2 linked regions of the Caenorhabditis elegans genome follow. The protein of the gene in region 1 interacts with the protein of each later gene in a pairwise test. Each region holds a gene or a part of one and is shown in the gene's direction. Other genes may lie near its edges. The genes, in order: F09C8.2 and R11F4.2.

Region 1 (11,698 bases):
TTTGGTTTGATCTTGGAAAAATGCGGGAGACCGCAATGAGACAGCCTGACACCACGTGGAGACCAAGTTTTCGTTTTGCCGATTTGCCTAGTTGCCTAGAACCCGAGCTACCAGGTTACTACAATTGTCGAGTTGCAAGGTACCATGTGTCCGAAGCAACAAGCCAACCATTGCCTATTACCAGTTTACCGAGTAACCATATTACCGATTTATTGACAAATCAATACGTCTGTTTCTAATCTACCACCCTCTTGTCTCCATTGTTTTCTTGTCTTATGAGCTTGGTCAGTAAGACGACACACAGTGGAGGGGGCACAGTATGTCACAGACACACAACATACACACACGCTCACACACACTCACACACACACTGTACATAACCTCACTGAATTTCTCTGCGACTCACTGTCTCCCACACTATCTTACTGTCAACCCCCCCCCCCCCCCCCCCCGCCATCACTTCTTCCTACACCACCTTGCCCTCCTCTTCGTTCTTTCCTCTACCGACTTGCGCTTGTCTCCCCCTTGTTTTTTTCGTCCGCTTGCCTTTGTGCCCTATGACTTTTTTCGAACACAAAAATTTGTGAAAAACTGAAAAAGAAGATGGCGGCTACTTTGTAATACTTTGTTGTAGTTATAGTTCTTCTGCGCCGGATTTTCCAGCTCAAGGAACTTTTTCGTCTATGATGTTTTTCCAACAAAATGTTTTTTGTCCAAGATCAGACAGTGTTAGACACATAAATGTAGGGAATTATGGAATTAACATAGATTGCAATCTCGATTAATGATTTTTAAATGTTATCACAATTTGAAGTTCAACAAAACCAGACTGTTGAGCTGTCGGTCAATTGAGCTCTCAAGTTGAAGCCGAGCTAAAAATGAATTTTAAGCCAACTTATTTTTCGATTTTGATTTAGTTCAGTTCTCTTAAATATCAGGTGCTCTTTAATTAATATCACTTAAAACACTAACTTTAGTAGATAAATATCGTATTTCCTCTATTACTATTGCACCCATTTGTTCATGTTTGACCGCTAATATCTCAGTTATCGATTGTTCTATTCAAAAACTGTCAACTGGCAAAATATTTGTCAGTTCTTTTTCTATCATTTTGCAATTTATAAGAAATTGATATCTTTAAAACGAACCGAGATATAACGTTTCAAAGTTGAGTAGTCGGGTGCAATACTAATAGAGGAAATACGGTAGCTCCATTTTTCGATGTATACTGCGGTTCAGTAAGCTACCAAATTCTCCAGTTGCTATTTTGCATCCATGAAGTTTTTCCGTATAAAACAATCTCACAAAATTTAAAATCAAAATTTAAAAATCGAACTTCCAATCTATATTCCTGCCAGGTCTGCACAATAAAACAACATAGACTCATTTCTCAACACCCTCTTATTTCCCCCTACCTGCAATGATTCCATGCATTTATACAATTTCTTGACCAAATCGACCCACGCATCTGCCCTGCGAGCTTAATGCTTTGCACTTTTTTTTTTGCCGAGACCGGAAACTAGAAACTGGGAGAAAATAGAATCGAGTACAACGTCACTCTGCTCGTTCTGAACTACTACTCTGGAATTGTTTTTTTTATTTTTTCGTTCTTTTATCCCCCCACGTTCAATCTTCCCCGTTTTATTTCTGAGCTGTTTTCTTCTCAAGAGAATCTTTGGAACTATTAGTGTGAAAGGAAGGACCAACGCACTTTTAGACCTTATTAGTCATGCGGAGAGCTGGAAAAAAAGGGTGATGGCATTATGTGGCAAGTACTATAGAACTTTGTATGTCCTTTGGAACGGAGAGAAGGAAATTGAATAGGAAATGGAATTGAGAATGACATGGGTTTTTGATCGTAATAATATGTGCGACTTTTGGAGCATATTTCAGACACTATTTGGAAAAGTTTGGGCCTATTTTTGTTGCAAATTTGTGTTCCCTGAAAGCATTTGAAACGCATTTAATAAATTTTCAAAAGTAAACCCACGTGAACTAGGTCAGAATTTATTGGCTCATATCTAATTTTTTGTCAATTTACAAACGAGTTCATAATGAGAACACTAGTTCATTGTGATGTTTTGCTATACAAGTAATTTTCAATTTTAGGTTGTCTAATTTTATAGCATTCAAATTGCTTCGATTTCTCTCGTCTTTAATGTGAATTAATTTTTCTGTTGGAGTTTAAGCAGTCTTCTCAACTTTAGATTTTCGACAATTTTAACACTGTTTATCTTTTAAATGAGTTCAAACGCGCTCCACGGAGCTAGCTTTGAAGGTACACAAAATAAAAAATGTGTACTGGAATTCTAGCGAAAACATATAGAACATTTTCATGCCGTTTTTTATATATGCATTGCATGATTTGTGCTGGTTTTTGAGATATCATTTTAGGTTTTCAGAGTCTTGTGTTACCGTGGTATTGCGACAGTGGTAAAGATGTTGAACTTTATACAGTGATTTTTGAGAAGCTCGGAAAGGAAACTAGGAAACTAGGTATCAAACTTCTTTGGCTTCAGTACTTCATTCCTTAATTGCTTTCACATGAATAATGCTCCGCACCAAGCTTGAAACACCGCAAAAACTCATCTGCAATTCAATGTGTACACCAACCAGTTCTCAAATTTCCTAAAAACAAATTTCATCTCCAAAACACATGCACTTCCTTGTCCTCCTCGTCACTCATTGTCCATACTCTAATTTCTCTGCGCTCTCCTCGTTTCCCAGTACGCGCAACATTTGAATGGGTCATCTTGCATCATCATAGCCCAGTGAGAGAGAGAGGGGCCCTCACCGAATCTAAATCTCTCTCTGTCTCTATGTCTCTCTCTCTCTCTCCTCGCTTTCCTCTTCCCCCCATCTTCCCACACCATCCGCTCGTTCGTTCGACCGCTCGTGCCGCTTGTCCTCCGCCGCCCTCCCGCACACATACACACACACAATTTTTGCCTGCCTGTCTACGCCTGCCTCGCCCAGCTGTCCTCTGTATCTCCGCCCTCGAAACGATTCGACATCTTGTTGCTATGGGTGGCGAGCTAATGACCTTCGATGCGCGCGCGCGCTTTGGCGCCAAGTACGCATTCGTCGGAAGTGATATTAGATTTTTCAATTCGTCCGTCAGGTGCTGCTGCTCTCAGTGGTTTTTATCACACACACACACACACAGAGTTAGTGAAATGAGCAAACCCACCTTCATTCTTTTTTTTTCTTGCTCCTCAGTCACCACGCCCCTCGTTTGTTTTTTTTTCGTGCCTATCTCTTTCGATTGCCCTCTATCTCGGGTAGTTTTTTCTCTCATTCTATGCCCTGTTCCATCGTGTACAGCAACAACAGTATTGCGAAATAGTTGGTAGATACATGTAATTCTTATATAAACACCTTTCAAATGTAATTTGCTTTGCGCGCCCCCCAAGCAAGCCAGGACCTCCCCTCACTTACTAACTAACTAACTAACCAAACCAGTACCTGTTCGTACGTTTTTGGTGGGATAGAACATATGTTTTGTTTCCATGTTTTGTTTTGTTCACTTTGAAACTATCTATTTTGAAACTATCCGTTCACTAGTTTAGAGAACAGTTTAAACATGAATTTTTATTTACTTTCACAAAAAATATCTTCCTCAGTTTCTCGCAGCAATGATTATATTTCATCAATCGTTCGTTGTTACTCATTTGCTGCAACTATATAAACATTGTATGATATTTCAGGTAGTCGTCCGACTCCTCTAAACTCTGGTGGTTAGATTGACCGTTGGAAACAACAAAACCACTGCATCCGTTCGTTGGGAGCAACATGATGACCGGCTACGGTTACAACTCAAACTTGGTTCAGCAAGTTCAGCAGCCACAGGTTCTCCAAGGGTGAGTTGTTTTCTTTTGTTTTTTTTTAATTTTTGAACAGTCTTGAGTTGAGCTGTAAAAATTTTAGAAGAAAAAACAAACTGATTAGTTCAATAGGAGCAAGTTAATAATGAAACACGAAAATTATCGATTTTTTTAAATGATAAATTTTCAACTTTTCCAGAAGTGATAAGTCAAAAAGTTTTCAGTATAGGAGTTTAGACTTACTTGACTTACTATAGGTCTTTGTTTTTTTTTAGAGTGAACGAAGAATGGACACATACTACGGGTCAATCACAGTACTACCACACGGATAGTGGTGCCACCGGGTTATCTAACCCAATGCTTTACGGGTCTGGCTGGTATCAACCGCCGAACTACAACAACTACCCGGCGGCGCCGGAGCACAACGTCGTCGACCAACAGCGCAGTCCGCCAGATGCGATGGACAATACACGAGCACTTGCCTATCAGAACCAAATGTTTATGATGCAAGCTGCGAACCTCGCGCCACCGCCACAACCAAGAGTCTCGTTTTCCGACGAGGAACTGTATCAGGCGTTGAACATGTCGCCACTTCCACCGACAGCAACGTTCCATGCTCTTCATCAGCAGCAGCAGCAGCAACAGCAGCATCAATCCATGAAGCAGCAGCATGCTATGCACTTGCAACAGCAGCCACAAACTGGTGAGTATTAATAACCATTTAAAATTAAACTTTAAAATATTATAGTTAAGAAAATAAAATGACGAGTTGGACTAGAAAGTTCCATATGATGTCAAAGTTGGAATTTTCCACTGTATCAGCTTTTGATAAAAAATTTGTTGCTCAAAATTATACTTATTTTCTCGATTTTACCATCAGCAGTTTCTAGGCAAAAATTTTACACTCATTAATTTACAACTTCCAGATTATCTTTCTTCTGAAGTTTGCTACCCTTCAACGTCCAGCTATGAACCTTCTGGATACAACGAGTCTGGGTATTGCCCGCAAAATTCTACGATTCTGCCAGATGATCCACAAAACTACCAACATGGTAACGATGGTGACGATGAAGAGTCTTTCGGAGAGCCCGAGAGATATGAGCCAATGTCACCGACGTTCTCGATTCATTCGTTTGCACCGACTACGTCAACGAATACTGCAGAGGCGGAGGATTTGGAGGTTTGCATTTTTTTTCCAGCTATTTTTTTTATTTCGAAATTATTATTGGTGGTTGATCATTCATTGCATTATTATTATTATTATGGCGGTGTGAGGAAATGTCGAGCTATCGAAAAACAGCTGAAATGAGAAGTGACGTGATCTGCCGGGGCTTGGCATCAAGCCAAGAATCAGCGCTGCGTTTGTTTACCCAGCAGCATAGCTCAGCATCCTCCTCTCTCCTCCTCGCACCAACTAATATTGTGTTGTTGTCATTTGAAAAGGGAAGAAGAAGTAGAGTGCCGAGACATAGGCCAAAACGATTTTTTTTTCAGTTGTTGTGGTGAGAGTGCGTCAGTGTCCCTTTTGTCGTCCCGCGCCGCGTGCTTCTTTAGCAGTTTAGTTTAGTTATTCTCCATGTGTACCACCACTGTCCTAGGACCCCTGGTAAACAAGAGAAAGGTTCGAGACGAAAAAAAAAGAACCCATCGTGCCAAGAGACACCGTGTGCAATGACAACAAAAACAACAACAGGAATAGCGCAGTTTTGTTTTAGTTTTAAGAAATGTGTGGACTAGTTTGAAGGGATCGTTTTGCCAAATATTTTACCTAGGTGATGCATGCAACTGTTTTTTTAACGACGCATAGGCTGATAGTATACCAACATCAAAATTATTCAAATTAGTAGATACGAATCGTGTCGAATTGTCCAATTTCGGTTTGATCTTTGATAATTTCAAGAATTTAGAAGGGTCTAGACGCACACTTTTCAAATGAGGCTTCACGGTTAAGAACGTGCTACGCTCAACTTTGGAAAAAATTCCAGTATTTATTGTAAATCAAAACTAGGGCTCCCGCGAGGTCGCCGCAACGGCGCCTCCGCCGGCCTCGGCGGTCGCCGTGCCGGCCTCACGACGTCACCCACGCCGCATGTGGCGCGGAACCCCGATCGCGTCGGCCGCTTCCAAATAGCCACACTTTGCACTTCGCTGCACACACACCATGTTACTCATTTCACGCCAAGTAGCGAAACCCCGAATGTGTCTGCCGCTTCCAAATAACCACATTTCAAACTTAGTTACAACACACAGCGGCGCTCGGCGTCGGCGTTAGGCCCGCATTTTGCGCCTCACTCAGCTGGGAACCCTAATCAAAATGTGATCGAGAGCCTGACACCGCGCGTTGATAGACGTGTTCCGTAGATCAAGACTGGGCTCGACTCAGTAGTCAATTTACCGGTCGGTTACATGGCTTTTTTGTGAAGTGATTTAAATTATCAAGCTACCAGTGAAGTTAGAATTTTATTTCCACTATTTATTTTCACATTGTAGGATTGCGCTGATAAGAAACTATTATTAGAAGAGTCTATTTTCTGTCTGTGTCTGCAACTGTACAACTCCAAAACCGCACATATTTCCAGGTGGAGCTAATCAACAATCACAAGCCGACTCCGAGGTATCAGCTCTCTGATGACATTGACATCTTCCTCCACACCGGCACCACCGACGACACGGAATACAACGACGACAGTGATTCGAGGGTAGGTAGCAGCCATCTTCAACAAAACAATAGATGACCTCTAGTCGGGTGTGTGTGTGTGTGTGTATGTGTGTGCGGGTGAAGAGACGAGGGGCACCCTCCCTTACCAACACACTCGCATAGACACACACACACACACACACTTTTGCCAACGTTATCGATTTTTATACATTTTTTGAATCAAGGAACAACGCGTGTGCATGGCTCTATATCAATTTAAGTCTTTTTTTCTTTTCCTGCCCTCATTCCTCATGCCTGGTGACACACTCTCACTCACATGCTTTCGTGGTTTTTTAGTCATTTTTTTCAACTCTAATGTGATGGCAACTTAACAAAAACTGAATTATTGAATCAAGTGAAAATTGATAGCTCGTAGAAAAAATGCCATTGCTCTTTGTTGCCACTTTTCCCACTTTGCACGGACGATTGTGCTTTCCCGATCGGAATAAAAAAGGGATTTTCCATTTCCGGGCTGCTTGGCTAGGAACTTTTCACTGTGTATTTTCAACAATATATATTTTCAAAGCGTACTGCAATTTTTGAAACCTTACATTAATATAAAAAGGAATAATACCTTTTCTCTTTACCGACTATGTCATTTGCCTTTCCCTCTTTAATTTTATACATTTCCCGAATCTAATGTATCGATTTTCAGCCAACTACAACGTTCTCCCATCGAAGTACGAAAGCCCCGACGCCGCCGGCATCCCGTCCTGCGTACGCGCAAAAGTTCACGGCTGCCGCTCAGAATCTGAAACCGGAGCAGCAACAGCCGACAACATCGGACATCACATCTCCCATTTCCAAGACATCACCACTGTTTTTGCAAACGACGGGTCAGGATCCTGCTGGATTTACTCCTCGTAAGTTTTTATTTTGTTTCGTGCTGTCATTGTATTCCTAAAAATACTTGTGTATCTGCACCCCAAAATGATTAAAATTTAATTTAGGAATCATTAAAATTTAATTTAGGAATCATTATTTCTGAACTTACAAAAAATAAGATTGGCCGAATCAGCTGATTTACAAAAACACACTTTTTCAGTGCTCACACCAAACTCGGACGCGTTGCTCCAAAAGAAGCTCAGCGAAGTCGTCCACAACCCGCCGCAACGAGCCATCGGATTATCTGCCTTCCCGGCGTTCCCACAGCAACCTCCGCACTTGACGCGTTTCCAAGAGAACCAGCGTTACGAAGGAAATTTTGTAGAATATCAGCCACCACCACCACAACAACATCAGCAGCAACAGCCACAAGCACCTGAAGGTTTCTATCCACCAATTAGTCTGAATACTAGATACGGTAAGTGTTTTTAAAGCTCACGTCCAGTTTTATCATCTCATGTTTCAGATTACGATAGTGATAGGGACATTCTTCCGCTGCTCCTCGACACATTCCAACCACTTCCGGCACCACCGCAAATACCACCTGTGACTGTATCAGTTCCAGTTTCTGTACCAGAACTTTTGACGTCAACGAAGAAGCCTTCCCAACCTGCAAAAGTCCCAGCTGCTCCAATCAAGGCTCCCAGACTATCAGATCAAGAACTTGAATCGGAAAGCCAAAAGCTTGCGCTAGACGTCATCTCCAATCTTTTCTCCAACAAAAAGGAGATCATTGATCGCGCGGCAGTACTCAGCGCGCCCAAAAAGCCTGTGGCAAGAAACCTGTTTTGCAACGACCCGGAAAGTTTGGAAAAGGCAAAGTCTAGCGAGCCTCTCACAATGAGTGTCCTAGACGACTGGGAAACTGCCGACGATGATGATTTGACAGTTCGCATGGAAAACCTTCTGAAGGATAAGAAAAAAGAAGAGAAAAAAGCGCAATCAATGTCAAAAGCTCCACCACCGCCGCAACGAAACTCGGATTGGGATACAGCGTTTCTCCAGCATGTGCTGGAAATCTATGGAGTCCCGGACTACAAAATGCAGGAAGACGTTGTGAAGGCAATGGAAACAATTGGAAACGGCGATTGCAAGGTGATGTGGATGGAGCGAAAAGTGGTGTTTGCCGTCTTTGAAAGTGTGAACCGAGCCAAAAATTGTCTGACTTTGTCGAAACATGACTGGCTGCGATTCCGGAGTCTGGCGGATTCGCCGAAGGTTGTGCAGGATTCTGCGAAAACCAATGCAGCTAGTTTGGGAATTCTAAAGTTAGTTTTGAAGGTTTTGAAGGACTATAGTAAATGGAAAGTTGACATAAACTCGGAATCAAAAATGTAGAGCAATAATCTCTCTTCCTAAACTGAACCACGCACCTACAAACTACGCAGGAGCCCTTGGTTTGCAGCGGCTGGCAGGCTCCTGCGTGGCTTGTAGGCGTTTTGTGCGTGGTTCAGTAATCTCAAATTTTGTGTCTCACTTTGGTATCTAATTTTTAAAGTCTCTAATTTTGTGACAGCTTTTCATTGCGCGCGCATGGTGTCAGAGTGTCCCATTTCTCTTTGATCTACGTAGATCTACAAAAAATGCGGGAAAAGAGACGCAGAGTTTTCAACTGATTTTGTATGGTTAAGAACGTGCTGACGTCGCACTTTTTTGACCAAAAAATTCCCGCATTTTTTGTAGATCAACCCGTAATGGGACAGCCTGATACCACGTATGCGTTGTCAATATTTTACGATCTGAAGTTTATTAACAGTTTGCTCATGTTATGCTATAATAAAACAACGTTTTTTTTTAGAAAAAAGCAGCAAACCACTGCGACAGTCGCCCGCCGGATGGTTGAAAATGCACTTGGCAAGAAAGCCACCGTATCTACGGAAAAGCGACAAGAGGAACGAAAGCAGCTTGCCGCTGCAAAAGCCGCCAAGAAAAACACAATCCAATGGGATTGAGTCCAACAAATAATTTCTCATTTACAAAATATCATTTTCAAAAAAAAAAGCTCACATTTCAAAAAAAAAAAGAAAGACGTCTCGGATTTAAAATTTGTTGCCCCCTCAACCGAACGCTCTCCATGCCGTTACCGTTCTGATAACTCAGGTTCGAAACTTCACTCTAATAATTTTTTTTCAATTGTTCCAACGCTTTAGTGCCGATTAGAGCGTAGTTGCAACCTGATAGTACCCAGGACAGTACCCTCTAGATCTTCTTTTTCTCCCACCCACCCATACCACATTTTCTCTTTTTTTTTCTATTCTAATTTCAAATCATCATTTTTACTCATTTCTCTTTTTTTTTCTTTTGTCTTTTGTAATTGCTGTAAGCTCACACTTTTGTGCCCCCTTCACACCATGTAAAACTCAAAAAAAGCAAAACATAATCATAAAAACTCCACCCGAAGAAAAAAAAATGTTAATAGCCCCAAGAATTGTTGTTTTCCCCCGAAGAATTTTTTGTTGAGTGAATTTTGACTATTGAAAAATCAAAAATTATTCAATTTTTGCGATCAGTCAAAATCTCTCCTTTGTCCCCCACAAACATTTAACACTATTTTATAGTATGTTCGAATTTCCCCTCTTGAAATGTCAAGTGTTGAAATTGTTCGCACTTTGAATGTCCCAACATTTCCCAGCACATTTTCTTTTATTGTTTTCATGGGCTTTCGATTTGGTCAATATTTTCAAAATATTCGGCCTTCCCCCTTGCATTGTTTGGAAAATTTCTAAACTCAATGCACCGTTTATTGGAATTTATTCAAATGCAAATTGCATGACAACAGTAATATAACGTTCAAAACGAATAAAAATTTCAAAATGAATGCTTGTTTTTCTCCTACTTTTTTATTTTCAGATACTTACTACCGACGATTTTTTTTCTTCATTTAGCATTTAATTTCACCCGACAAATAGCCAGTGAGAATTTTTTAGAAATAGACTTATAATGATCCAAAGCGACCTATATTATTAATAAAACACTCCAAAACATTTCATATTTTTCATAATTTCCGGTCAAAGTTTTGGCAAAGTGCTAAAATTTTGAAAAATATGAGTTTAATGAAACATTTTCTCTTTTTAAGCTCATTGAAGAATTGACGGTTTTGTTTTAGAAAATGACTAGCCGAATACTAAAAAAACAAAGTGAAACATTTTCAATTTCCGAAATATAGGGTTTGAAAATTGCCGAAAATGTCTGGCAAATGGCAATTTTGGCAAATTTGAATATTGCCGAAATTACCGATTGCCGAAATTTCCCAAAACCGGCAAGTGCCGAAATTGTAGATTGCCGGAAATTTTGGATTGCCTCGCACCCCTGCTGCCTGTGTTTCTTCACCTGTCAAAACTCTCTGGACCTGTATTTTACAAACTTTTTTCAAAAATGAATCTGTAAGCTACGATGTCAGCCAAAATTATCTTGGCACAGTGTTTATATTCGAATACTTTTCAGTCCCCTTCTGGACAAATAGAGAAATAAATAGAAAAATGTAAGTTGAAAAAAAAAGAAGAAGATAAAACGAAGCTCTTCAAAGGCTTCATATTTTCTAGTTTGTGAGCCACTTCTCACTTCCTCATGAATTTGAAATGTTTCCATCACAAGCTTCTGGTTCTTAAACTTTCATCTTCGTGTTCCAAAAATAGTGTTAGCTATGTATGAGTTAACAGATAATTTGAAAGAAAACATGATGCAAACGCATGACGCAAATTCCCATTTTAGACAAGACATTTTTAGTTTACTGCTAATGTGTGCACATTTTTTTTGGTTTATTTTTCAGCATGTTTTCGAGATGTTTTGAGCATTATTATTAGAACTCTGGAAGACTCTGTGAAGATTAGCGAGGTTATGTTTAATTTTCTATGATCAATGCATGAAAAATGTCTCAGGTATAGAGTATTTTCCGTTAGAGAACTATAATATTTTGCAAAAAATTTACTTGATTTACAGTACCTACACTCCATTTTTAATTTGTTTTGTTAATACCTAACCAATATTGTTTGTTAAATAATCTAAAAATTTTGAAATAAAAATCAAGCCTGATTTCCACTTAGCAACTACGCACTAGTACTTCATTCTCATATTTAGATAGGTTCACATAAAAAATTTTGGAATTAAAAAAAATTGAGCAAATCTTTTTCATAAATAGTGCTAGTTTACGTATTTATATCAATCTATTTTCAATAAAACTCTTTTCTAAAACCAAGTTAGATATTTCAATACCGGAAATCAAGACTAGCAAATCGGAGATTTGCTAGGCTTCGCAGTTTGGTTCGGCGTAGAGTAACTCAAGAATAATTCG
Region 2 (9,209 bases), on another chromosome or scaffold:
CCGAAAAAGCCAAAAAGAAAACGGGAAAATTGATAATTTGTGACACAAAGAGCTATTTTACGGGGCGGAGAGGTCATCCTACTTCCCTTGACGGGAGAGTTATGCACACATTTTACAAGGAAGTTAGATGAAGAAGTGCGAGAGGAGTACACTGATGGATTCCCTTGATTCTCACTAATAATTTACATATTAAGTTTGAGGAAGATGACGGTGACCCCTGATTTGATGTCATTTCATCAGACACATAGCTCAATTCTGCGTTGCCAAAGGTCAGACAGGAACGAAAATACTTGCCTGACCAATGCCTACCTACGTCTAAATCACAAATTACCACTTTTCACGTCTTAATTGGCTTTAAGTAAAAAAGTAAATTTTGGCTGTAGGCAGGCGCGTAGGCTTGTAGTCAACCTATTGTCAATTCAAGTTTCTTACTTCCAGTTCCTTCAAACTTGAAAACAATCTTTAATTTTGTTGTTCCTTTTTATTTTTCAATTTCCTGTTCAGTTTTCTTATTTTCCTGTGTTTTTCAATTTTTCATTTTTCCAAATTAAAAATAAGATCATGTTCAAAAACCTTTCTGATTTTGAATGTAAACTTTTACTTCTCAAAACTTCCTTATTCCTTTTCGGAAAGTAGGTAGGTAGGTATGTAAAAACAAAGCGATAGATAGACTGGGTAGGTAGGCACAAAGGTAGGCAGGTATAAAAGTAGGCATAGATTTTGGTAGGCAAGTACATAGGCAGTTATCTAGGTAGGCAGTAGTGTAGGTAAGCATGGTTTTCGGTAGGTAGGTACGTAGGCTGACTGATATAAAGGTGGGCAATGGTGCAACTTAGCAGGGATGTAGGCAAAAATGTAGGTAGGCAGAGCTGAAAATAGGAAAAATCACGTTAGAATTCAAAAAATAAGCGGTAGGCAGGCACGTAGGCAGGTACCTAGAAAGTAATTCATTTCAAAGATCATAGATATTTAAACTACATTTACGATCTAAAACATCTGTGAAAATCCACGTGTTGCGTAGAGCCTGAAAAGGAAAAGGTTTTCAGCCGTTTGTAGATCACTGGCACTGATCACCCGCCAATTTTGACGTCCCCCCCCCCCCCCTGCCACGTCACCTCCTCTCTACTTTTTCGACGTGTGTGTGCTCGGCGAGCTCTCGCCTTTCATCTTCATCTGATTCAATTCCTCCATTCTATTCTGCAAAGGAGAAGATGCCTCGGCGGCGGAGCCAACCCCAACTCATCCGTGAGCTCCGCCCCAAAAAAAGAGCAGGCAGTGCTCTCCAACACACATGAATATATGAAACATTTCATCTCATTTCGAATTCTTTGGATCTGCTCTTTCTTCTGTTGTTGTGTCTGTGTGTGTATGTGTATGTCATTGTTGGGTCCTTGTATGTCTTCAAATTCCGAACAAATTTTTGTTTGAAAACCCGCAATTTCCCTGTCTGGCGGTGTGCTATTTATTCACTCAGTGTTTTTTGTTCGAATTTCCAGCCAATTTTCAATTTCAAAAGCGCCAAATTTTCGGGAAAACCTGAAAATAATTACCTTGCAAATATCCCCACACCCCCACCGACACCCACCCACTTTATTTTGAAAAACATGTTCTGAGATTTTTTGAAAAGTTGAGAAAAACACGACAATTTTCATTTCCAACTTCCTTGCTCTTTGCTACGAGGTGTTTGATTTTTTCTCAAAATGCTTACGATGAGGCTTTGGCTTAGGCTTAGACTTAGGTTTAGACTGAGGCTTAAACTTAGGCTGAGACTGAGGTTTAGGCTTAGGCTTAGGCTGAGGCTTGGATTTAAGTTTGGGCTTAGGCTTATGCTTAGGCTCAGGCTCAGGCTTAGGCTTAGACTTAGACTTAGTCTTAGGCTTAGGCTTAGGCTTAAGCTTAGGCATAGGCTTAGGCTTAGACATAGGCGTAGACTTAAGCTTAGGCTTAGGCTTTGGCTTAGGTTTAGGCTAGGCTTATGCTCACAGGGTTTAGCCTGCAGGGACTTTAAAAACGAATATTAATAAACCTACATTGAAGTTTTCAAAAAGGAGCAAAACAATTCTGTTGCCGAATTGCCGAGTGTTCCGGCTTTTTGGATAGTAATATTCTATGCGTCATCCGGTTTCCCCCAGATTTCTGAGCTTTTCATTCTATTCTTTTAAGAGCGGTTTTTCTCTCACGCCATCACCCAACAAAAAGAGCACCCACTCATCTATTGCAACTTTTCTTCCCCGATTTTGTTCCATTTTCTTACTTTTTTTGCTACGAAAAGCTCAACCCGGGTGGTCCTTTTTGACCTACCTACCAATTTCAAAGGAAATCAAATTGATGTTTGATTCTAGGAAAAGAGATGTCTCTATCTATCTCTTATCCTTTTTTCTCATTTTTTTCTCTATGCAAATTTTAATGGAAACTACTTAGGATGTGGACGGACCTAAAATTGATTAGAATTGGCTTCACTGGGTGCATAACCCCTCAATTTTGAGCTGTAAAAAAGTTATTTTGAAAGAAAAAAATGTTATAATTTTTTTGATCGGTGTTTTACAAATGAAATTGCAGCTTTTTGCAAAAAATAAAAATTTAAAATTTATTCTTTTCAAGTAGATATACCGATGTTTTAAATATGAAAAACAAGGGAAGACGCAGACAGCGAGAGCGTCTGTATCTCTGACCTCTGCCCTCTCCCTCTCCCTTTCTCTTACTCCCTCATTTTCAAATTAACGAAACTCATAGTCAGCGAATATTTGAGCAAGTTGAAAATTTCCAACTGCAAAACTGTTAAAAATTCGATTTTCTATCTATCTTGTAATTAATCTCATCTCTATTGACAGCCCTTAACTCAAAAATTCAAGTTTTCAGCAAAATGAACATCACAGAAACAGCAGCAATGAGCGAGGCGTGTATGGTGGAGAGCCTGGATCGACGATGGTACCTGGTAGCAGTTTGTGGAACATCATTATCGGTTTTATCAATTGTTTCAAATATGTTGATATCAAAAGTGAGTGTTTTTCATAGTTTTGATTTTAATTGGAAAATGCTTAATTCAGCTTAATTTGACGAAAATTTTTGTCTTTTAAAATTGATTTTATTTTCGAAAAACTTAAAATTTTGCTTTTCCACTAAAAAAAGTGTGGTCTTTTAAAAATAATTTCATTCAAGATTTGTCGGAAAAAAGACATAAGAAAACGTATTAGAAATATTCAAAAATTCTTTTAAAAAAAGTTGAAAAATTGAGAGAGTTTAAAACAACTTTGAGAGTTATAAACAAAATTGCCAAAAACCCATGTTCTTCACACGAAATTTCAAATGTTTTGGGTAAATCGTATGGCGACCAATGAACGATGAGGTAGGGGAGGGGCCAGCGCCTGTGATTGGTCCAATTGTTAGCCTGACCAATCAGCAAGGCGATCGGGTCTGCAATAAGAAAACATCTTTTTAATTTCCAGGTCCTACTATCCTCGAAGCACACGCACTTCTACTTCCTAGCCCTACTCGCCTTATCCGACTGCTTCTTATCTCTAAACTACGGTCCCGTGATAGCAATGGACATAATCAAAGATCGTGTGAAACTGCGTTGGCTCTCAAATCTTTATATTCAATACGTGGGACCCTTACTTGCTCTCTCACAAACCTCAATGACTTTCTCATGCTACCTGATCATCCTGGCGACCATCGAGCGATATCTGATCACACTACGCGCAAAATGCCTCGGCACATTTCGACAATGCCGGGGACTCTCTGCACTTTGTATGTTCATTTTGGCTCTGTTGCTCAGGGCGCCCATCATTTTCGAAATGCAAATAGAACAGAATCCCGATTGTATTGGCGAGATTAGCGAGTACTATTTGAACTTGTCGCCGATTGTGAACACGTTTTGGTATGGAACTGTGTACCGGTTTTATGTCAGGTAGGTGCAGGGATTTGTTGAAAAATTGGAGAAATTACAGAGAGAAATGAACTGAAAATTTTTGAAATTAAAAAAAAATTGTTTGTCCGATATTTTTGAATCTAAAATTTATTTTAAACTAAAATTATCAACAAAAAATAGAAAAAAAAATATAATTTCAATTTTTTAATTGCATATTTGACCTAATTTTGAATAATTAGACTTAAAAAAGTACTTGAAATTTCAAAAGGAATTTATCGAAATTTCAGAAAATGGAAAACTCTGGAACATTTTTTTTATAACAAAGTATTGTTTTTAACCAAAAGTTTTTCAAAACTAGGTCGCCTACCTACTTGCCTGCCTACCGCCTATTTTTCTGTACTTTTGGCAATAGGCATGAGTGTAGGCACAAGGCAGATGTATAAACCATGAAATCAGACCTACAACTTGCTGAAAATAAAAAAATTTAAAGTTTTCCGTATCCTTTTTCTGCTCAATTTTGTCTCTATTCAAGCATCAAAAAAGTTATATTAAAACAATTATTTAAAAAAATAAAATACCAAGCCAAAAAAATCTTTCAGAAACATCATGACAGTCCTGGTACCCTTCGTTCTGCTGGCCATTCTTAATTACAAAGTCGTGAAAATTCTTCGAATGCAGCAGAGATCGGCGCAAATGTTCCGTTTTCTATCAAGTGATCATAAGACGAAAATCCGATCGGCAACAATTTTGATGGTATGTATCGTTTTCTCGTATCTTCTCGCGAATATTCTAAACGTCGGTGTCACACTGTGGGAGTACGTGGCATTTCAATCAACACAAACCGGAGACGCTTATGCGGTATGTTGAAAAGTTGCAAACAGCAAACTACAAACTACAATTCCCAATTTCAGTTCTACGAAACTTGCACCGATGTGACGTCAGTACTCTACATTCTGGTGTGTGCCACGCGTCTTTTTGTATATTATTTGTTCAATCAGGTAGGTTTTTTTTTTTTTAATTTTATCTGAAAAATTCTTTAAAAAATGCCTGATTTCTTGGATTCCCGCCAAAATTTTCTGATTTTTTTCCGAGTTTTAGAAATTCCAATTTCATAAATTTCACAGCAAAAATTATGCATCTAAACTTCTCTCAGAACCTTTTCCAATTCTCATAAAATTTAACAAAAAAACCAAAGATTCCAGGAAATCCGCGAAGCCATCAAACCTCTCGTCTGCCACAGCACGAGTGCTCCTCGCAAGCAGGACTATGTTACAGTAACCCGAAGCTTGTAAGTTTGTCTAAATCAATTTTTCGTAAGCAGAAATCTGAAACCTATCCATCACCCTGTCACTGAGTCCCGTTCTCTCTTTCAGACAATCCATGCCGTTGGCGGTAGTGGGCGCCCTAACATTCCTCGGTCCAAGACAGACCGGCATCGTGAGAAATCAGCAAAAGTAGGGGAAAATTAAAGTAGTTGAACTTCTGCTATCTATTTCGCATGTCTACTGTATCTCAAACTTCTATCTCCCAGACTCTCTTTGCTCTCCTCCTAATAACTTTCCGTCACAAGCTTACTTCTAGGCGCACACACTTTTACCAATCCAGTAAGATGTCGGCCGCAGCCCATTGACTGCAGCCGGCACTTCATGGGCCAGGCTGGCGTATGCAGGACCGGGTTGGCACGTGAGGTGTCCGCAGCAGATTGCAGCCGACATTTCACAGGCCAGCAAAGCTAGCGTTCGCCTAGCTAGCCAAGCTTACGAGGTGTCGGCTGCCGTCTCGTTTCCGCGGCCGACACTTTACGAGCCACCAGCTATCATCCTACCATTTTATCTTCCAGTTAACATATACTTCTTTCAGCGACTCCTCCCGCCAAATCGGAACCGAAATCGATGCTGTAGCAATTGCCATTGCTCGAAGGCTGCTCTCGAGTGAGCTCGTCTTCGGAGGTGGAGGCACCAAAGAGGCCAACGACTCATACGTCATCTCAAACCACCACGCGACCACATCTGGAGACGAGGAAACCGACGACGACGACGACGATGAAGAGATTCCATATATGGTTTGAGAAGAAGCGGCTCCATATATTTGCACATTCTCCTCACCCACCTCATTATTTTTTTCCTTTCTGGATTGTATACTTTACTTTTTCTTCTCCTCTCTCATCATACATATGACCAATATCACGGGGTAAAATAGCGAAAATAAATTGGTATGTTTATTCTGAATGGGGTTTTGCACAAAAACTATCAGATTCACATCTCATTAAAAACCGGATGCTCTTTCATGTCTTACTTGGTGAAAACTTCGGGAGACAGACACTGGGGGTTTCTTCAAAACCTGCTAAAATTAAAATTGAAGTTTTGATCTAGAAAAATTTGATCTACAAGTAAGGGGGGACCCTAATTTCAGCAAGCTTACTGCATTAGATTTTTCAAATTGAACAAGCCCGGTAGATGTCGGCCGCTGGAAAAATTAAAATTTTGTAAGACAGGAGCGCTTTCTTGTCAGTTCGGAGTGACCATCTGAGCTTTTTTCGAATTAACCAAAGCAGCTGATATATTGAAGATTTTAGTTCAAGCAGCCGAAACTTTAAAGGTGTGTACTATTCTCTGCAACCGACGTTTCACAAGCACTTCTTTCAACAAGCAACATTTTACAGGTACTGTGCTTAGCGGCCGAGGTTTCACAGGTAATTATCAAAACAGCTAAAATTGTAAGGCGCATGCGTCTCCATGCGTCTCTCCATTTACAGGCCCAATTTCGAGCAGCCGACATTTTACAGGCACTACTTTTACCAGCCGACATTTAACAGGACTTCAAATTTTTTTCTATTCAAATTTTGCATTTCAAATTTTCAAACTTCAAATTTTGCATTTTTCATCGATTTCAGGTGGTTTCAGAGCCTTACTTAAAACAAAAGTTCAACATTTTATTATGTTTAATAGTTTCACTGATTTCCACTAAAGCTCCCACAAAACTCCTTCTAACCAGGACTTTTCCACGTGTATTTTGCTGTTTTTGTTCATTGTTCACCGCTCGATTTCACGTGTGGACGGGCACAGTTCACGTGAAATGATGTCCCATTCTACCGTACTCTTTGTGATAATGGCTTATCATTTGTAGAAGCGGAATGTGAAGAAGACTGATGAATGATAGATTGAAACTTTCAAAAATCAAATTCGTAGGTTTTATGAATTTTTTTTGGGTTTTTTTTGTTCGACAAGAAAAAGGCAGACATTTTTTTGCAGAAAAAAGGGTGTAAAGTCTGAAAAAAAAGCGATCGATTCAAAAAGTGTTCAAAAATCATACAAAAATTGCTTTCGCTGCGGGATCCATTTTCGTTTAAAGACCCTTTTTGATAGGATCAATCCTTGATTTGACGTCTGTTCAATGATAACTTTGTGAATCCGAGGTCAGACCGATTCTCGCTTCGGGACCCTTTCTGATTCAAACGAATATCTCAAGATGTTCAAAAGATTTTCTTTATTTTCCTAAACATTTTGTGTTTTTCACAAGTCACGTCATTTCATTGACGTGGCTCCCCTCGAAGTTCAAATGCTCAACAAGAATCTTTTCTCAAAATCTTCCTCCAACAGCTGTACTCGAAGGGCCCCGTATCATTTATCACTTCCCCCCCCCCCCCCTTAACTCTCTTTCCCCTGTCTCGTATTCTTCAAAGATGATAAAGACAAAAAGTGAATCGTTCGATAAAGATAGAGAGTATTGAACACTTTCAAAAGTGTCATTAGTGACAATTGTTATTGCTTTACTCCAGTAGAATAACCTGTTGGAATCGGGAAAAATGCAAAGTTTTCAGGTACTTTTTAGACGAAAAAGTGCTGAGATTTGAGATGGGAAACAACAATTGGAAATAGGAGAAAATAGAGAAGATCAATTTTCAGCTACCAAAATATAAATGGTTTTTAAATTTTAAAGCAATTTCAACCAGGGGTGGGCGGCAAACGATTTTCATCGACAAATCGATAAATCAAAAAATTTTCGGAAATGGAAATTCCCGACAAATCGGAAAACCGGCAATTTGCTAATCGCTGAATTTGCCGGAAAACCGCAATTACCGAAAATTTACGGCAAATAACTTTTTTTTTTGGAAACTTCAGAATTTCAATTTTAATCGGCAAAATTCTATCCTAACGTTCCTAAATCTATTTTTAAAAATATTTAGAAAAAAAATGGGAAAAATTTCAAAAAGGCAGAGATTTAAAAATTTCCGTCTTTTAAAAAATCTTGCGGCCAATTGATGTTCGGCAAGCGGCAAATCGGCAAGCTGCCGAAAAACAACATTACCGGCAAATCGGCAATCCGGCAAACTTCACGGCAAACGTCTTGATTTCAACAACCTATAACTCAAAAACAAGACACTTTACAGGCAACCTTACAACTAATAAAATGTTGCCCAAAACGTATTCTTACTTTTTGTAATTGACAATTGTCCATTGTAGAAAATACTGAAATTCTACTTTTCTTGTCCTTCTTGGAATATTGATTCCACTGAACCATTTGAAGAAAACTGAAAACTCAACTTTTTTCTTTCAATTTCTCCAGTTTTCCTATCCCTCCCTTTCCATCTAAAAATAAAATTTCACGATAAAAGTTGATCGATGTGTAGCGTGGCAATTGGAAAAACTGACAAAAAAAAAAAAATTTCTAGGATAAAGTAGATCTAAAAAACAGTGAGACAGTTTTCAGAAAGTTTGATCTACGATAAACGCGGGAAATCTCTGTTTTGAATTGTGTGACGTCACAACCGTTCAAATTCAATTTTTTTCAATGTTTACTATGTATTGAAGTGAAAACACTGAAAAGGGTTTTTTGTGGAATTGCAGCTTAACATACCTGCCCGCCTACCTGCCTGACTTTGGAACAAATTTATCTCTGGAAAAATTAAGGCGACTGACATCTAGCGGGTTGGGTTTTGTCGATCGATATTTAAAGCAAAATCAAGCTTCATAATCCATAAAGAAAACTACAAACTTTGGCTGGAAATATTTGCACTTACACTGAAACTGGGCTTGTTTGGGATTGAAACCCCACATTTTCTGTAATTTTTTCTGCAAAATCTAACTTTAGAGACAAGCCTGAAGCCTAAAACCCCTTGTAAAGCTGAAAAAAAAAACCGAAACCATAACCATTTCCGGTTTCAAAAACCAATAACGTCACATACAAGAATGCCTTCCCACGTGGCTTCAGCCTGTTCTGCAAGAAGAAAAACGCGTCCCCCTCCCCTTTTCCATCATCTTTTTCTTTTTCTTCATTTCTTCATTTTTTTCTCTCTCATTGTAACAATACACAAGCATTTTTCTTGTGTGGTGTCTCCTCT

Evidence for each region.
Region 2: the proteins of F09C8.2 (region 1) and R11F4.2 interact in a two-hybrid assay, tested with the Caenorhabditis elegans proteins (one large-scale study listed by BioGRID).

What each region holds. Positions count from the first base shown.
Region 1 is NC_003284.9:16,139,032-16,150,729, reverse strand, and holds F09C8.2 (C3H1-type domain-containing protein), read left to right. Parts: upstream 1-3,707; 5' UTR 3,708-3,795; coding exon 3,796-3,860; intron 3,861-4,099; coding exon 4,100-4,527; intron 4,528-4,750; coding exon 4,751-5,004; intron 5,005-6,403; coding exon 6,404-6,523; intron 6,524-7,177; coding exon 7,178-7,385; intron 7,386-7,567; coding exon 7,568-7,825; intron 7,826-7,873; coding exon 7,874-8,675; intron 8,676-9,205; coding exon 9,206-9,359; 3' UTR 9,360-10,223; downstream 10,224-11,698.
Region 2 is NC_003280.10:4,080,206-4,089,414, forward strand, and holds R11F4.2 (G-protein coupled receptors family 1 profile domain-containing protein), read left to right. Parts: upstream 1-2,848; 5' UTR 2,849-2,887; coding exon 2,888-2,998; intron 2,999-3,446; coding exon 3,447-3,907; intron 3,908-4,467; coding exon 4,468-4,726; intron 4,727-4,779; coding exon 4,780-4,866; intron 4,867-5,070; coding exon 5,071-5,156; coding exon of another isoform or gene 5,157-5,160; exon of another isoform or gene 5,161-5,183; intron 5,184-5,728; coding exon 5,729-5,936; 3' UTR 5,937-6,092; downstream 6,093-9,209.